Linked DNA regions of Nothobranchius furzeri. The protein of the gene in region 1 purifies or fractionates together with the protein of each later gene. This does not show direct contact. Links are inferred from orthologs where the notes say so. Each region holds a gene or a part of one and is shown in the gene's direction. Other genes may lie near its edges.

Region 1 (3,106 bases):
CTCTGATCTGGTCATTCTCTAGATTCTGAAACAGAGTGTGACGTACGAGGCCTTCATTCCTGCTAGAGACCTCTGCAGATGCACTGATTAATGAGTGAACCACACCTTAACTGTTAGATGAGGTGAACATATTCATCCTTTCCTCTGATCTGTGGCTCCTCAGCTCCACGTTATGTACAGAAGAGGTCATAACCTTCCTCAACACACGGATGCTCTTCTGGGCATGTTCCACCAGCAAGCCCGAGGGCTACCGAGGTGTGTATGCCCGTTCATTCGTTCATCTGTTATCAGTGTGACCCCGGCTTTCCACAGCAGCCGTCAGCAGCACGTTACTGCAGCAGCACGTCATAGCTGCTGATAGGAACGGCTGTGGTCAACAGAACCTTTTCCACAGGAGCCGTCAGCAGCTGTCAGCAGCACGAGTCGGCCGCGTCTCAGGAGCAGCATGTCGCGGCCTTTACGCGCCGGTTCTATTTCCTACGCGCGACGCCTCTGAAACGGGTCAAGTTCGACATTTTTGGGGAAGGAAAGACAGGAAATCGGACGCGGAAATGGAGAGAAGCTCCCGAAATTTTCAGAATAAAGAACGTACTGCCTTCCGGTCGCTTTACTTTAAAAAAGGTTACTAACTGTGCGGCCCCGTGAGAAGTTATCACCTAGCTAGCGGTCTCCTTTGTTTTTCAGGTCCGTATCGGCGATTATAAAACGGACAGAATATAAAAACACAAACATTTTGGAGCCATGTTGTAGTTTTCTCCTGCTTGTTGTTGTGTTTACTGACGAAGTCACTCGTGTGACTTCGTGCCCTGTCGGTGACAGCTGCTCCTCTGCTGCGTCGCGTCTCGTGGGAAGGGCCAAGCAGCAGCTAGACGTGCTGCTGCAGTAACGTGCTGCTGACGGCTCCCGTGGAAACCTGGGGTAAGTCTGGCTGCTCTGAAAACAACAAACACTCTGATATCACTGGTAAACAACATGTTGAGACCAGGGCTGGGCAATAAATCCACTCTTACCGAGATAATTGTTCCCGTCTCAGGAATGAGATGAGAACATGAAATATGTGTGTGAGCTGGCAACATTCATGTCCTGTAAGAAGCTGCACCACCTTCAGTGGCATACCAGTGTGACTCAACCTGGAACACGTGACATCTAGTGGACAACTGTTGTTCCTGCACACACCTGTAGTTCTAGTCTGTTCATCGCTAGCGAGGTGAAATCCTCTATATGTCGTGATATTAGTTGTAGGCCATGCCGCCCAGCCCTAGTTCAGACCCATGTGGAGTCCCCAAAGCTAGAAGCTAGTGCTGCTTTTCTGTCCTACAGGGACTCTTCTGTTAGCTTGAGTGGCTACAAAAACATTAAGATCCGTGCAGAAGCGTGGTAATAATGGTAGTCCACTGGGCTTTTGTGTAACAATGGTTTCTATACCAAGTGTCCCAAGCGTTGCGGGAGAACACCTACCCATTCCTGGCCATGATCATGCTAAAGGACCGGAAGATGACCGTGGTGGGTCGGCTCGAGGGTCTGATTCAGCCTGAGGAGCTCATCAATCAGGTCACCTTCATCATGGATGCCAACCAGACATACCTGATGTCAGAGCGCCTTGAGCGGTACGTCAGACCAGCTGGAGTTAGTGAGACCGTCGTCACATTCTCTACAGCTGAAGTAGCAGCGAGTGAAGACTGAAGTGTTGTTTCCAGAGAGGAGAGGAACCAGACCCAGGTGCTGAGGCAGCAGCAGGATGAGGCCTACCTGGCCTCCTTACGCGCCGACCAGGAGAAGGAGAGGAAGAAAAGGGAGGAGCTGGAGCAGAAGAAGCAAGAGGAGGAAAAGGTCCGACAGAGTGCTCTTGCAGAGGAGAGGAGACGAAGAGTGAGTCTGGTCGTCTTCGTTTGTACATGGATACGTTGGTCTTCCCCTACATGTCTGATTCCTGTTGTTGTTTTCACTCCAGACACTAGAAGAGGAGAAGGAGAGGAAGTCGGAGTGCCTTCCTCCAGAACCATCTGCTGATGATCCAGAAAGTGTTAAAATAGTGTTCAAGTTGCCCAACGACACACGAGTAGAGAGGCGGTTCCTGTTCGCTCAGTCTCTGACGGTGAGCGCTGGTGTCTTTGGTCTCCTTCACACGCCTCTGGTCAATGTTTGGTTATTAGACGCTGACATGTGATGAAACATCTACATGTTTCTTCTTCCTTCCACAGGTAATCTACGACTTCCTTTTCTCTTTGAAGGAAACTCCAGAGAAGTTTCAGATCGTGACAAACTTCCCTCGCCGAGTCTTGCCCTGCCTTCCGACTGCAGAGCAGCCCAACCCCCCCACGCTGAAGGAGGCAGGACTCAGTCGCTCCGAGGTCGTTTTTGTTCAGGACCTCACGGACGACTAATAGATGACTTACCTCGTCTACATGGAGACACGTTTATCTCTGACCCACCCATGTTGTTTGGTTTGTTTTGGTAAATGGCCGTTTTACAGAAGGGATGGTTGCTATAGAAACTAACCTGGATCACTAAACCACCCTGCATCCAGTGCTCCTTCACTTGTGTTGACAGGGTTCCCATTAGCCTGCAGTCTTGAATTTTATCAAATAAATATTTCTTGAAGTGGTTCCTTGTGTGGAGAAACTGTTGTTGGTGTTAGCTAACAGTTATCCTCCTCCCAGCAGTGAGACTAAAGCTGCAGCACAACCTCCTCGTCCCACACAAGCTGTCACAACCGAGGAAGACTGGTTGTTAGTTACTCGAGGGGAGTTCCCTGCTGTTTCTCTTGGTTCATGCTTTAGCCCACAACCCCTACAGCGATTATCAAGCACAACTAGCACGGTCCAAGTCTGAAGCAGCTGTGATCGAGAGTTGAAAGGATGGGAACCCTGTTTAAATGAGCCATCACTTGTACATAAGTTAAATATTTAAATGCCCACTATTGTTTTTATTTGACTCGTCATGAAACGACCAAATGCAGGTTTGTTACTATGTAAAGCAGACTGCCTCCAGCTCATGAAGTTAAAACGTACAATATTTAACGAAGGCCACAGCTTTTACATGTGGCTCTATGTAGTTTAGTCTGCCCATAGTGTGCCTGTGGTTACTCATAGATGCCTGTTTTGCC
Region 2 (3,993 bases), on another chromosome or scaffold:
TGAAACATTTAGGGAGGGAACGCCTGGATGAAAAGGTGAGTTTTTAGATGATTTTTAAAGACCTCTACAGTGTTAGAGAGAGGGAGATTTGAAGGTAGACTGTTCCAAAGTCTGAGTGCAATAGTCTGAAAGGCCCTGTCCCCTTTGGTTTTTAGTCTGGTTCGAGGAACAGCCAGGAGGTTTTCAGATGTGGATCTAAGGTTCCGAGAGGTGATGTGTGGGGATAAAAGCTCAGATAGGTAGCTTGGAACCTGGTTGTTAAGAGCTCTATAGGTCAGGACTAAAACTTTAAACTGAATTCTATATTCTACCGGGAGCCAGTGGAGGGACTGTAAAACTGGAGTGATGTGAGCTCGTCTGCTGGATTTGGTTAGGAGTCTGGCTGCTGCATTTTGGATGGCTTGAAGGCGTGAGAGGGAGGTTTTGCTGAGACCAGTAAAAAGAGCGTTACAATAGTCTAAGCGTGATGACACAAAGGCATGGATTATTTTTTAAAAGATAAAAGTGTCTGCAAAATAAATAGACATAAACATAAACATACTTAGTATACATAATTATTGTAAATCCTTTAAACTATATTTTTGGTGTTAGTAACAAGACAAGTCGCTTTAACAGAAGTTTTATCTTATTATTTAGCTTTAAACACTTAAAATTGTGTAGAGAATACAAAAGACAAGGAGAGATGGAGACATTAGTGCCCCCAGTGGTGATGATATGGAACTACACTTTGCTTCTGTTAAATCAAGTTGTTTCCAAATTTGAGATAGAATCTACACAAATCATCTATCAGAGAACATTTCAGCTTCCTTATCTAGATGAAGCCAAAAAAAATCCCAATAGTTGTTTTTGTCCTTTTGATGGAATTAATAGGAGGAGAGGTAACAATAGTAACAATAGAAGTTACAATAGTTACTTAGTAGAACATTTTCTCAAAATTATTAAGTGTTAGTATGTTTCGGTCTGTGTCTATTGTCTCTATCCAGAAAAGAGAGGCTGTGGAGAGATTAATATAAATAAATAAACAATATTGAAAATATGATAATAAATGTGCTTATTTATGCCGTTTTGGCAGGATCCCCCGATCTGCTGTCGAAAACCTTTTGAAGGATTGGTAATCAACAATACGCAACAGTGCCCTCTAGCGTCAAAATACATGTGCCACACTTAAACTTCGAACAAAAGAATATTTGTCCTTCTCGGGCCTCCGTCGTTGTGTCTCGTCGTGACAACATGGATCCTGTTAACAACTTCACCTCGGTGTTTGAGTGATTAATGCGTTTAGTCTTGGCCACACCACCCTTCTTTTGAGTTATTCTGCTCACCCGGAGACCATGTTCACCACCACCGGTTCCCGGGGCCTCTGTAAGTTTCCTGGTGGAAGAATCGTTCTGCTCACCTTTTCGTCGGACACTTTCTACGCTAGCTTAGCTAACGAGCGTTAGAATCTCGTTGCCATTCATTTACTCAGGGCTGTGCCTGTCAGTTATATAAACAACTCTTTGTTGTTATCCAATAATTACCGTTAACAGTTTAAACTGTAATTATTCAGTTATCCTAACTAACGAGCTATTTTTTCACTTAAATTAGATATATTCTATCTTTAAACTCTGTGACGTTTGTATGTACTTTTCGAACAGACAAGGCTCCTCTGTCTAAAGGCCTTCTGCTGGTTCTCAATGGGCTGACGGTGATGCTGACCCTGCTGCCACAGTACCAAGATATGTTTATTTACAACTTACAGGCCATCACACATCAGCACCAGGTTTGTCTCGTTTAAAATGATCCTATTTATACAGTCAACGCTCAGGAGCTGTGAGCCAAACACCCAGAGGAAGTGTTGTAGTGCTTGTGTGTGTGTGTTTGTTTTGTTTGTGTGCTGCAGGTGTGGAGGCTGATTTGTGGCAGGTTCGTCTGTCTCGATGTGAAGGATTCCTTCTGCAGCAGCCTCCTAATTTATAACTTTCGAATCTTTGAGAGGAGGTTCGGAACCAGGAAGTTCGCTGTAAGTTTAAAAACTGGACCTGAGAACTAGTGTTGCATTTCCTAGGATGTCATTTAAAGTGTTCTTTTAAGAAAGAGAACACAGAGCTTCTTCATCTGATAGCCTTTGTGGTTGTATTTGAAAATAAACACAGCCTGTTTTGCTCAGGTGTAGTAAAACAAATCCTGTATAATGTTCTTACCTTCAGTCCTTCCTGCTGGGCACTTGGTGTCTCTCTGCATTGGTGGACCTGCTGTTGGCCCAGGCTGTCCTGTATCTGTTTGACTATGAAGTGGAAGAAGTTTCTGCTGGACTGTAGGTTGATATAATGCATCTCTGCAAATACATTTCCAACATCAATACATTTTCTTTTTTATTATGATGTAAAGCAATCTTTTATCTTTTTACCCTCTCCCCTCCATGCGACTACGTGGTTCTTTCACAGTGAAGTACTTCTTTGAGCAAAAATTAATTTACTACCTAAAAACATTAATTTGTTAAACTATGAAAATAACGTGGGATGGCCCGTTGTTCGATCTCGATTCTACCATCGCTAGTCAACACTGAATCCTTAATGAACCCTCACTGGTCTTGCTCAGCTGTGGTGTTTATGGTGAACAAGACAACATTTTAAGTTAGGGATGCTCCGATCAGGTTTTAATCTGCCGGTCACCGATACCGATCAACCAAGAGGCCGATCAGCCGATTACCGATACCAATTACATAGATTGGCTGTAAATTGTTCATTTAGCTATGGTGAGTTCTAATGCATGTGTTACATATTAATTCAGAAAAAACATGGTTTTACTTCACTTCAAATTATGTAATATCAGTAAGAATTTATAAGAAATTGAAAACATGCAGGCTCTCTTTAGGCTACAATAGTGCAAAAAAAGTCAATATCTCACATCACCGCCTAAATCAAATTAAGTAACCAAGGATACATTCAGATACATCCAGTGAGCTGTTAAGCTCAGCATTGACACAGGACTGACATCTGAGCTCCAAATGTCACTTGTGAAACTCACAGAGGATGAGACGCTTTCTTTAAGGAGTCCCTCGATGAAAGAATGCACTGTCTGGGGAGCTCTGGAAGGGCTATGTCGGCGAAATATTTACGTCCTGGTAGCATGTAGCGAGGTTCCAAGTGGGTTAGTAGTCGGCGGAATCCGGCGTCTTCCACAACTGAAAAAGGCTGGTCGTCTAGTCCAATAAACTCAATGATTTTACGGGTAATTTGCTTGGCCTTTTGACTGCCACGCTCATATGGGCGAGTGTTTCCAAGCGTCGGCTGCGTTAGCTGCCGTCTGACTGTGGCCGCTTTAGCAGGCTTCTTGTCATTGTCTGCAGTGAGCCTCAAAAACTCACCATGCTCCGCCAAGTGTTTAGTCTTTAAATGTCGGATCAAATTCGTTGTGTTGAATTTTTTTGAAGCGCTTCCTCCGTGGGGTATGTTTTCGTTGCAAGTGTTGCAAGACGCAAACTTAATATCACTCTCGCAAACCGTAAAGAAGTTCCACACGGCAGACATGTTTGTCTTTGCGGGTTTGCCACCACGCGCATGTGCACTAAGCGGGGAGAAGCGGAAGGGTGAACTACCGGCTGGGAAGAGTAAGCGCCAGTGCCAGATCGGAAATGAAAGGCAGTGATCGGCGATCACACACTTTTGCAGGAAAATCGGCCGATAATTATCTGTGGCCGATCAATCGGAGCACCCCTATTTTAAGTGCTTTATTTCTTCATTCTTAACTCACGCTCCATGCTTATTACACAGGTCTCCGAACACACTTCCAGCTCTTCCAGCCGACAAAATCCAGGCTGCATTCACAGACAACAGGTCCATCAACTAATTGTTTACCAACACAAACAGAACCTGCGCTTCGTGCACAAAGAAGAGTACTGTAGGTGTAGATGGGGGAGGGGCTGAGGGCAGTAAGATGGAAGAGTTGTGATCCAGTCATTAAGAAGGGGACGTTCACAATGGTTGGACGAGGTTTGTCCAGAATTGTACA
Region 3 (4,141 bases), on another chromosome or scaffold:
TAACGGGGCATTTAAAAAATCTTAATCTTTTTTCTCTCCTCTTGGGAATATTAATATTAAAGGGGGGGGGGGGGGTAGACGGAGTAGAAGGAACTGAATTTATAAAGTCAAAAAAGTTCCTTAGAAATATTTACTTCAACGATTCCAAAAACCGTGTTCTGTTGCCTTGAAAGAACTGGGAATTGGCGACCTCTCCTGGCAAAAAATAGAACACTTTTGTCCAACAGCATTTAGAATAGAAGGAAAGATGGGGAGGGGCTGCACAGGGTGAGTGCGCGTGTGTGTGCAAGATTGCTTGTCCTGTGTGTCTCTGTGTTGCCCTCGGTTGCCCTGCGATGGACTGGCTCTCTGTCCAGGGTGCACCCCCCGATTGCCCATTGACCGCTGGAGACAGCACCCCCCCCCCCCCCACACACACACACACACACACGCGCGCGCGGACAAGCGGGTTCAGAAAATGGATGTACGTGAAGATGGGGAGTTGCTGCCCTCCAGTGTATGAAAGCTGTAACTGCGCTTGTGTTCTTTGCCTTTTAGAAGAGAATATTTTAGCCTCCTTGGTTTGATGGAGCCTTAAAAAAACTTAATCCTTTTTTTTGTTCTCTTGGAAATTGTAGTATTGAAGAAGAGACCGAGGAGTAGAAGGAGAATAAGGAACTGGATTTCTAAAGTTGAAAGAGTTCCTTAATTGAAACACTTCCTCTGAAGTTCTTTTTGGTTCCTTGCAAGAACGGGAACTTTGCGCCCTCTGCTGGCAAATAAACATAGCTCCCTTGTTTTAAATTAAATAAATGGAACCTTAAAAAGGCCAGATAATATAAAATTAAGATATTTAGGTACTAAATTTTACCAGAACAAATGTGTGGTTTGTAATAAAACATGCCAGATATAAAACTATTAGTTATTAGTTCAAATAAATACCCAACTACAGCTAATTAACTCACACAGACGTAGATAGACACTGATTTATAAAAAAGGTCCATATTTTGTTTCAAACAGAATGAAAACTACTGTATTAGGATTTCACAATTAATGCATAAAATATTCAAAGAAAATAAAAAGAAATGCAATTAGTTACAGAACAAAAGAGTAAATGTTTGACCACAATAGCTGATTTAATTTGATAAACTTGTTTATTCGGTAAAATGAAAAAGTAAATCAAACAATTTGCAATATGTTATACTTGTATAACTTTTAAACTGCCCCACGTAAAACTATTCACATTCCTAAACATTAAAAAAAATCTGAAAACCAAACGAACTCGTCATTGTTTGGCTCGGTTCAATTATTAAGTCACAATAACATCCTGCGTGGGCGGGACTTTTTTTCCAATGCTGCGATCTACTACACCGCCCTTTTCGGACACCCCGGGAATCGAAACATCTTTTGTAGCTTACCCTTTAGCATTAGCGGAATAAGCTAGTTTTACATCTGCGTCCGAGATGATGGAGATCAGCGAGCGGTGGGTGGCTTTCCCGTTAATTAGAACATGTTTCATAGGTTACGAATGTTTTTGATGCAATTCTCTATTGTGCAATGAACATATTTGTTTCAGCAGCCTGCACCTCTCATTCAAATCAGAATTGTTCTTTTCCCATGCTAAGCTAACCGGTTAGCATGCGTCTCAACAAGGGTTTGTTGTTGCTGCACAAATCTAACGTGTAAAACGAAGACATTAGGGCTTTACATCACTCTCCGACAACAAATGAGCAACATTTTTATTATTTACTCAAGTTCAGCTCATAAGTTCATCTTTTTTGCAACAACTAAGTGGGAAAGTTGTGTTTACTCCTGATGTCCCTAGTGATCTACTATCTTATACATGTGTATTATTCAGATAAACTGGTATGCATCTGGAATTTCTTTTATGGATTCACTGCATCTTTAAAAAATCAGATTAACTTGAGTGTATTTTATCCTGTTTTTACCATAAAGGATGATGACCCGTATGCTAGACACGTCTATAACAGTAATGCGTTGTTATTTAGGGAGTGTGACTATTAGGTATTATTAATGTCTTTCACACAGAGTGAGGTTTAAAACTTGATCAAAATCACAAAAATGCTAATATATATATATATATATATATATATATATATATATATATATATATATATATAAAGAATATAACTCTTTTCGTTAAACTTAATTAATCACTACCAAGCTGTAAATAAATGTTATCATGCTTCATTCTGGCCATCTGTGGGAGTTTAAGCTGATGGTTGTAAAGCAGACGGTTGAGTTTGTTTTTAAAAATGTAGCGCTGTTTAAATGTGTTTCTCTGCATTCCCTCCTCAGAATGGAGGTGGACGGCTGGGACTCGAGTCTGGAGGACGATTTGGGTGTTTCCTTGGATGATCTGAAGAAGCTGGTTGAAGAAGCTGTGGAACAGAGTGAGATGGTGCAGAAGAAAAAAGCTCAGTTGAAAGAACTGAAGCAGTGGGTGGAACAGAAAGAGGAAGAGGAGGCAAAGACGGAGATGCTTCTCAAAGACACAAACCAGTGAGGTGGAATGGTTGTCTGTTTTATTAGTGCTTATCTATAACGAGCTCATCTTCTTGTCTCCTTTTTTTAGATCTTTAAAGAGGTGTGAGAAACTGGTAAAGGAGGCTTATCAGCTGAACGGTCTTGTCTACCGAGAGAGCAGCTCTGAGGATGAAGGGGGTGGAGATGGACTGTGCTCTGAAGTCATTGAGATAGATGATGATGACGATGACGATGTCATTGCAGTTGGATGTTGTAAGTTGTGCTGTTTTGTAAAAAGATATGAAAACACTGAGACTGTTGTTCATCTCTTTTTCTTCTGTTCTGCACCATCAGTGGTTCCTCCAACGAAATCTCCAGGCAAAGACTCAGTGGTGAGAGCAACAAAAACAGTGTTTCTGAAAATATATTCATATCTAATTACTATGTAATTACTACAGTGTTGTTTTTGTTAATGAGCATCAGGGACAAAAAGTGCTGTTGACACATAACAGGCAGCTTTAAAGGTGTGGAGAACTGAGAAATATTGTTTAACTCATTCGCTGCCAGCGTTTCTCACCGTTTTTACTGTTTTTTTTTAAGAGTGACAGAACGTTGCATGCTAGGATGATGTCGACGCCGAAACAACCAAAACAAAATGGAGACTCACCTTTTACATCAGGAAGAATCCGCGCGTTTCGAGCGTTATCCGTTCTTTCATAATCCGTTGTTGAAGTGTGATCGGCAGAAGCTTTTCCGGTTCGCGCCTCACTTTTTTTTACAGCAACGGCCCAAAACGATCTCCTAACACATGACGTTCTGCTTCCTGATCACGTGACCTGTGACGTACGCGGATGAAGATCGGCTGTTTGTTCTCACCGTGCGGGGGCTCGTCCGACACCCACACAGTAACAAAATGCAAATGACGACTTTAGTCCTCAATGGCAGTGAATGAGTTAATGATTATAATGGGTCATAGAAGAGCACGCTGGCATCGTCCAGAGGACATCAGGTGCTCCGACAGCCCATGGGACATCAAATGTAAAGGATAAAGTATACTTTATCCTCTAGGTTATAATGGGTCACTCAGAGTTCTTCATGCCGTCCGAACATGAAAACAGTCTCCTACACTTATCTCCTGCTTTAGTCTCTGATAGAAAATAGAAAATCCTGACAGATCTACGTCACACTGTCACTGAACATTCATGGACTCACCCATCTTGGCTCACAACGGGGAAGGCTGTTGTTGGTTTAGCGTCCAGGTAACAGCAGAGAACGTCTCGGCTAGTAGAAGCTAACTGTTAGCGTTAGATACTCCACCACACAGCAGGACTCCTCCAGGCTTGTGTTATTTGTGGAGATAAAACATCAACTATGCAGGGCAGAGTCAGCGGTAGAGCTGTGTTGCTGTTATCCAATCAGAGGAGAGATGTCTGAATATCAGGAAATAAGACTTCCAATCCTGTCGTCTGAAGCAACTCCAGATGACTCGTACTTCCTGGAACAGGTGCATCAGAGCTTTTTTTTCTCCAGAGTACAACTTAAAGGCATTAATTTCTACTAGAGACCACTGCAAATGTATTGATTCAACAAGTGAACCACAATCCTCGGTGAAAAATATTAAATGGGAAATCATTTCTTTAAATTCAGCCAAAACATAGTTATTTTTTTAGGTTAC
Region 4 (4,098 bases), on another chromosome or scaffold:
ATAGATAGATAGATAGATAGATAGATAGATAGATAGATAGATAGATAGATAGATAGATAGATAGATAGATAGATAGATAGATAGATAGATAGATAGATAGATAGATAGATAGATAGATAGATAGATGATATATAGATAGATAGATAGATAGATAGATAGATAGATAGATAGATAGATAGATAGATAGATGATATATAGATAGATAGATAGATAGATAGATAGATAGATAGATAGATAGATAGATAGATAGATAGATAGATAGATAGATAGATAGATAGATAGATAGATAGATAGATAGATGATAGATAGATAGATAGATAGATAGATAGATAGATAGATAGATAGATAGATAGATAGATAGATAGATAGATAGATAACAAATGAAATGTGTTTTGCATGCTCCAGTAAGACTATAATAGTGTTTCAGACACTCATCACTTACCACGTGCAGTCTGGGTATCGATCAGTACCTCTTCCTCACTCCCGTGAGTGCGTGCTTATTTGACTCCGTCCATCCGACAGGTGTGTACATCTCTCCTGCAAGTGCCCGAGTGAAAGATGCTTCTCCTGCTGGCCGGGACTGAGCAGGCAGCGTAGACAGGCAGTCACGTGACCAACATCTCGGAGACCATCCATACGGGAGGGGAGAGGTAATGACAAATGCGTGGACTGGATCCGAATTGGGTCAGACGGTCCTCGGAGTCCATCGGAACCAATGGGGAGCGTCAAACTGAGAATAGCCTTTCCCCCCAGCTAAAACAAATCAAAGGTTATCTGTGTGCACTCTGATAGCTCCTTCTTCTGTCCAATGAGGCGTTTGTGCTCCATTTCAATAGGTCCGTTTTACGTTAATCTGTGATTTATTTTATATGTTTTATTTGGCAACACATTGCAATTCAATGTAATTGCTACTCAGCGTTGTTTTGTGTCAAATTCATTTTTGCTCGAATATGGAAGTGTGAGTTCGTGAGGAAACATAATAAAAATAAGAACAAAGGCGATATATTTAAAACAAGCAAACTTGAAGCTGTTTCACAAAAGTCTAATCGGGGTATTTGGGGGTATTTCGGCTGTGAAATTAAAAGCCTGTTTTATTTTCTCGGGCGGACAGAATAGGCTTGATGTTAGACGACTACTGCAGGTGAAATATGCTGATTTTCACAAGTGTGTTTGAATCAATTGTGATTTTTTAAACATAATTTTCTACGTTTGAAATGCAGATTTCTGTTGTTTTCCAGTTTTGTTTGAAGGGCTGAGATATTCCTGCCAGACGGTGGCGCTGTTGTCAGTTGAGAGCAAGCAGTAGCTGCAGAAGAAACAGAGGAGAGTCGCAGAAGAAGAAAAAAGAAGAAGACGTTCCACTGAGAAGAGAACAATCTGTTTGCTCGTTACCAACCACTAAAGTAACGTTATTTGGGTACATTTTAAATCATTTAAAGTTTGAACCTCTTCGCGTGTGTTTGGTTTGATATTTTTGCGGCTCTCATAATGATTATCACGGTGAAGCCGCTTTCAGGACTGGAATGTAACATTCAGGTGAGTTAACGCATCATGATGCTAACTGCCGGTGTAGCCAGCACACCGATGGTTATTTATCATATTAGTTTGCAAGTAAAGGGAGAACATATATGCTTCTTTAGTCAGGAAATTAGACAAAACACACCATTCTATGTAGGTTATGTGGGGTTAAACCGGTTAAACATAAACATCTGAGACGAGTTTAAACGTTATCTCTACCGAAGCTGTCCTGCTAGTTAACACTAATGTCACAGGAGGCCTTAAAAATGCACGTTTTTATGCTTTATTGGTTGTATTTATTAAAGTGGAAGGTTGTGCGTGACTGTATGACTTGGACAAATGTTAGCTTGGAGTATGGTTGCTATGGTGATCGTAACAGGGAAATCACCCAGAACTTTAGTTTTTAAACCAAAGCATTCCGTTTTTAATTCGTAAACGTGCAGATTCCATTCAATTTCAACATTTGGAAATTAGATGTGTTTACTCATTTGTAAACACTTCGATCTTTTAAAGCACCGTCGCGTGACAATCAAAAGGTTGTATTTTAATAGCTGAGGTAAACTAAATTCCCAAATCATTGTGGCGTCTACCTTTGTCTTTAAGATGTGAAGAGTCTGATCTTGCGTAACTCAATCCCGTGTTACTACACACAGAAATAATTGATACGCTTTTAATTTCTTGTTTATAATGATTTTACAGATTTAAGTAGGTCTGGGGTTTGAGCCAACAGCGCACCACAGCCGAGACATTTTCTAATTTATGTAAATTAGGACAACGAAATCACGGTGAGCAAATTCAAAAGTTGTCATTTACATTTCTCACAAGCCTGATTTAAACTTTGCCCTTCAGAATAACATATTCATTGAAATTCGTTTCATTTTTGAGTCGGCAGCTTAAAGAATCTCATTATTCTTCCCTCTGGCTGAATCCAGTCTCATTAATGTTTGCTAGCGACTCGAGAAACCTGTCTATAATACCCTTCTCTGTTTCCTAAATAAACAGAAAATGTCATTACCAACAGTGAGTTTATTTAAAAAATGATACATGAAGTTGATGCAAAGTTAATTGCCTAAACTTTGTTACTGCGTCACTTTCGTCTCAGTTGCTTGTGCTTCTTTTACTTCCTCTCAGTGCTTCCTGTCCTTATATCCAAACTCACACAAAGAACCAGTCTTCTGTCTCTGCTTTTAACCATTTTCTGGTGTGAAAATGCAGCAAAAATTATAACAGGCTAGTAATTATTCTACATTATTTAATCCTGTACAAAAAACACAACTGTGGTGCAGTAATGAGTATAAGTTTGTATATTTAGCTGGATTAAAACACCACAAATAAATAATGCTTTTGCTTAAAGAGCAAATTGCAGGTTAGAGACTCAAATAAACCAATGTTTAGAGAAACATAATAGCAACTCGTTTTAAACTTTTTTTTACACATTCATAAATTATTTAGGCTTTTAGAGTCATTTTTGTGAGAGAGTTTTTTTTTTATTTCTTTGCCAAACCAAGTCAGCCGACGGGGTCCTGTTAGCTTAATCTAGAGAAAAATGTAGATCCTAATGTCGGCTCTGACACAGAGGAAACTTTAAATGTTTGTAATTATACTTATGATGGACCAAAAAAAAAAACAGCTGGCCCGCTGAGCCGCCTGTCTCTTCTGGTGGTCGGTTCTGACCTGGTTCTGACGGTGATCTGAGTTCCAGAAATCTGAATGTACTTTTTTAAACCCTGCCACGGGTCTCCAGAGCCCAGCGCAGACCTCCCTGTCTCTGTACCAACCGATTTGGGCTACAGAAGTCCCGTCTTTTCAGCTGCACAAAACGCCCTCAGGCATGTGAGATAGAGGCGTAGTTTCTCTTATCTGGAAACCCGTGGACTCGATGTCCAGAAAGGCTGGAGTTGGTACAGCCTTCACAAACTATAGTTTATCAACATGAACACAATCCAAAACTAGTAAACACACACGCTGACTGGATAACATGACCGCTCTACCCTAAAACTACCCACTCTCCACACAGAGCTGAGGCAGCGCCTAGCTTCTAACTCCCTTTGGTTACATCAGAGGTTCAGATTTAGAAAAAAAGAGCCTTTTTAGAAGCTTTGCTGAGAGAGGCCACTTTTTACTAGAAAACTGCTGTTTTTAAACCAAATATCCACAATAAGCATTTCAAAGAGTATGTTTGGACAGCATTTTATATGAATTAGAAAAAAATATGTTACCTGCAACTTGCTTTTTAAAGAGTTAGTCACCCCCTACAAGAAATTCACGTTACTCCCACTTCATCTTTGAAAAATGCAACAAATGCTGTTGCCTGGCAGACCGAGAGAGCGGAGCCGCTAACAAATAAACACAAACAGGCTCACAAAAGCATTGTGACATCAAAATGTACTAGCTAACGTCATTGCATACCTCTTAGCCAATAGCAGTGGCAGGTTTAAATTTAAATGTAGTGAAGAGGTTTTACCGGACGACGGCACAACACTGACAGTTTTAGTCAGAATATTTAAAGTCCAGGGGCCACGCACAACGGGGTTGGAAAACTGCGCAAGCAATTTTCCACGCAAACTTTGGAATTCATGA

The links. Proteins that work in one complex are often made in the same cells at the same time.
Region 2: the proteins of faf2 (region 1) and ubac2 purify together in Homo sapiens (affinity purification with western blotting; 7 studies listed by BioGRID and IntAct, with this or other methods). This does not show direct contact. The link is inferred for Nothobranchius furzeri from reciprocal best matches to the Homo sapiens genes FAF2 and UBAC2.
Region 3: the proteins of faf2 (region 1) and setdb1b purify together in Homo sapiens (affinity purification with mass spectrometry; 3 studies listed by BioGRID and IntAct, counting the BioPlex papers as one, with this or other methods). This does not show direct contact. The link is inferred for Nothobranchius furzeri from reciprocal best matches to the Homo sapiens genes FAF2 and SETDB1.
Region 4: the proteins of faf2 (region 1) and ubl4a purify together in Homo sapiens (affinity purification with mass spectrometry; 3 studies listed by BioGRID and IntAct, with this or other methods). This does not show direct contact. The link is inferred for Nothobranchius furzeri from reciprocal best matches to the Homo sapiens genes FAF2 and UBL4A.

What each region holds. Positions count from the first base shown.
Region 1 is NC_091742.1:44,986,938-44,990,043, reverse strand, and holds the end of faf2 (FAS-associated factor 2), read left to right. Parts: intron 1-163; coding exon 164-255; intron 256-1,429; coding exon 1,430-1,607; intron 1,608-1,697; coding exon 1,698-1,869; intron 1,870-1,951; coding exon 1,952-2,095; intron 2,096-2,201; coding exon 2,202-2,384; 3' UTR 2,385-2,606; downstream 2,607-3,106. UniProt on the Homo sapiens protein: Plays an important role in endoplasmic reticulum-associated degradation (ERAD) that mediates ubiquitin-dependent degradation of misfolded endoplasmic reticulum proteins.
Region 2 is NC_091752.1:31,488,582-31,492,574, reverse strand, and holds the start of ubac2 (ubiquitin-associated domain-containing protein 2), read left to right. Parts: upstream 1-1,193; 5' UTR 1,194-1,331; coding exon 1,332-1,362; intron 1,363-1,637; coding exon 1,638-1,762; intron 1,763-1,882; coding exon 1,883-2,002; intron 2,003-2,189; coding exon 2,190-2,296; intron 2,297-3,993. UniProt on the Homo sapiens protein: Restricts trafficking of FAF2 from the endoplasmic reticulum to lipid droplets.
Region 3 is NC_091745.1:76,219,461-76,223,601, forward strand, and holds the start of setdb1b (histone-lysine N-methyltransferase SETDB1-B), read left to right. Parts: upstream 1-1,341; 5' UTR 1,342-1,442; coding exon 1,443-1,462; intron 1,463-2,298; coding exon 2,299-2,502; intron 2,503-2,575; coding exon 2,576-2,739; intron 2,740-2,820; coding exon 2,821-2,858; intron 2,859-4,141. UniProt on the Homo sapiens protein: Histone methyltransferase that specifically trimethylates 'Lys-9' of histone H3. H3 'Lys-9' trimethylation represents a specific tag for epigenetic transcriptional repression by recruiting HP1 (CBX1, CBX3 and/or CBX5) proteins to methylated histones.
Region 4 is NC_091757.1:40,380,206-40,384,303, reverse strand, and holds the start of ubl4a (ubiquitin-like protein 4A), read left to right. Parts: upstream 1-1,298; 5' UTR 1,299-1,488; coding exon 1,489-1,536; intron 1,537-4,098. UniProt on the Homo sapiens protein: As part of a cytosolic protein quality control complex, the BAG6/BAT3 complex, maintains misfolded and hydrophobic patches-containing proteins in a soluble state and participates in their proper delivery to the endoplasmic reticulum or alternatively can promote their sorting to the proteasome where they undergo degradation.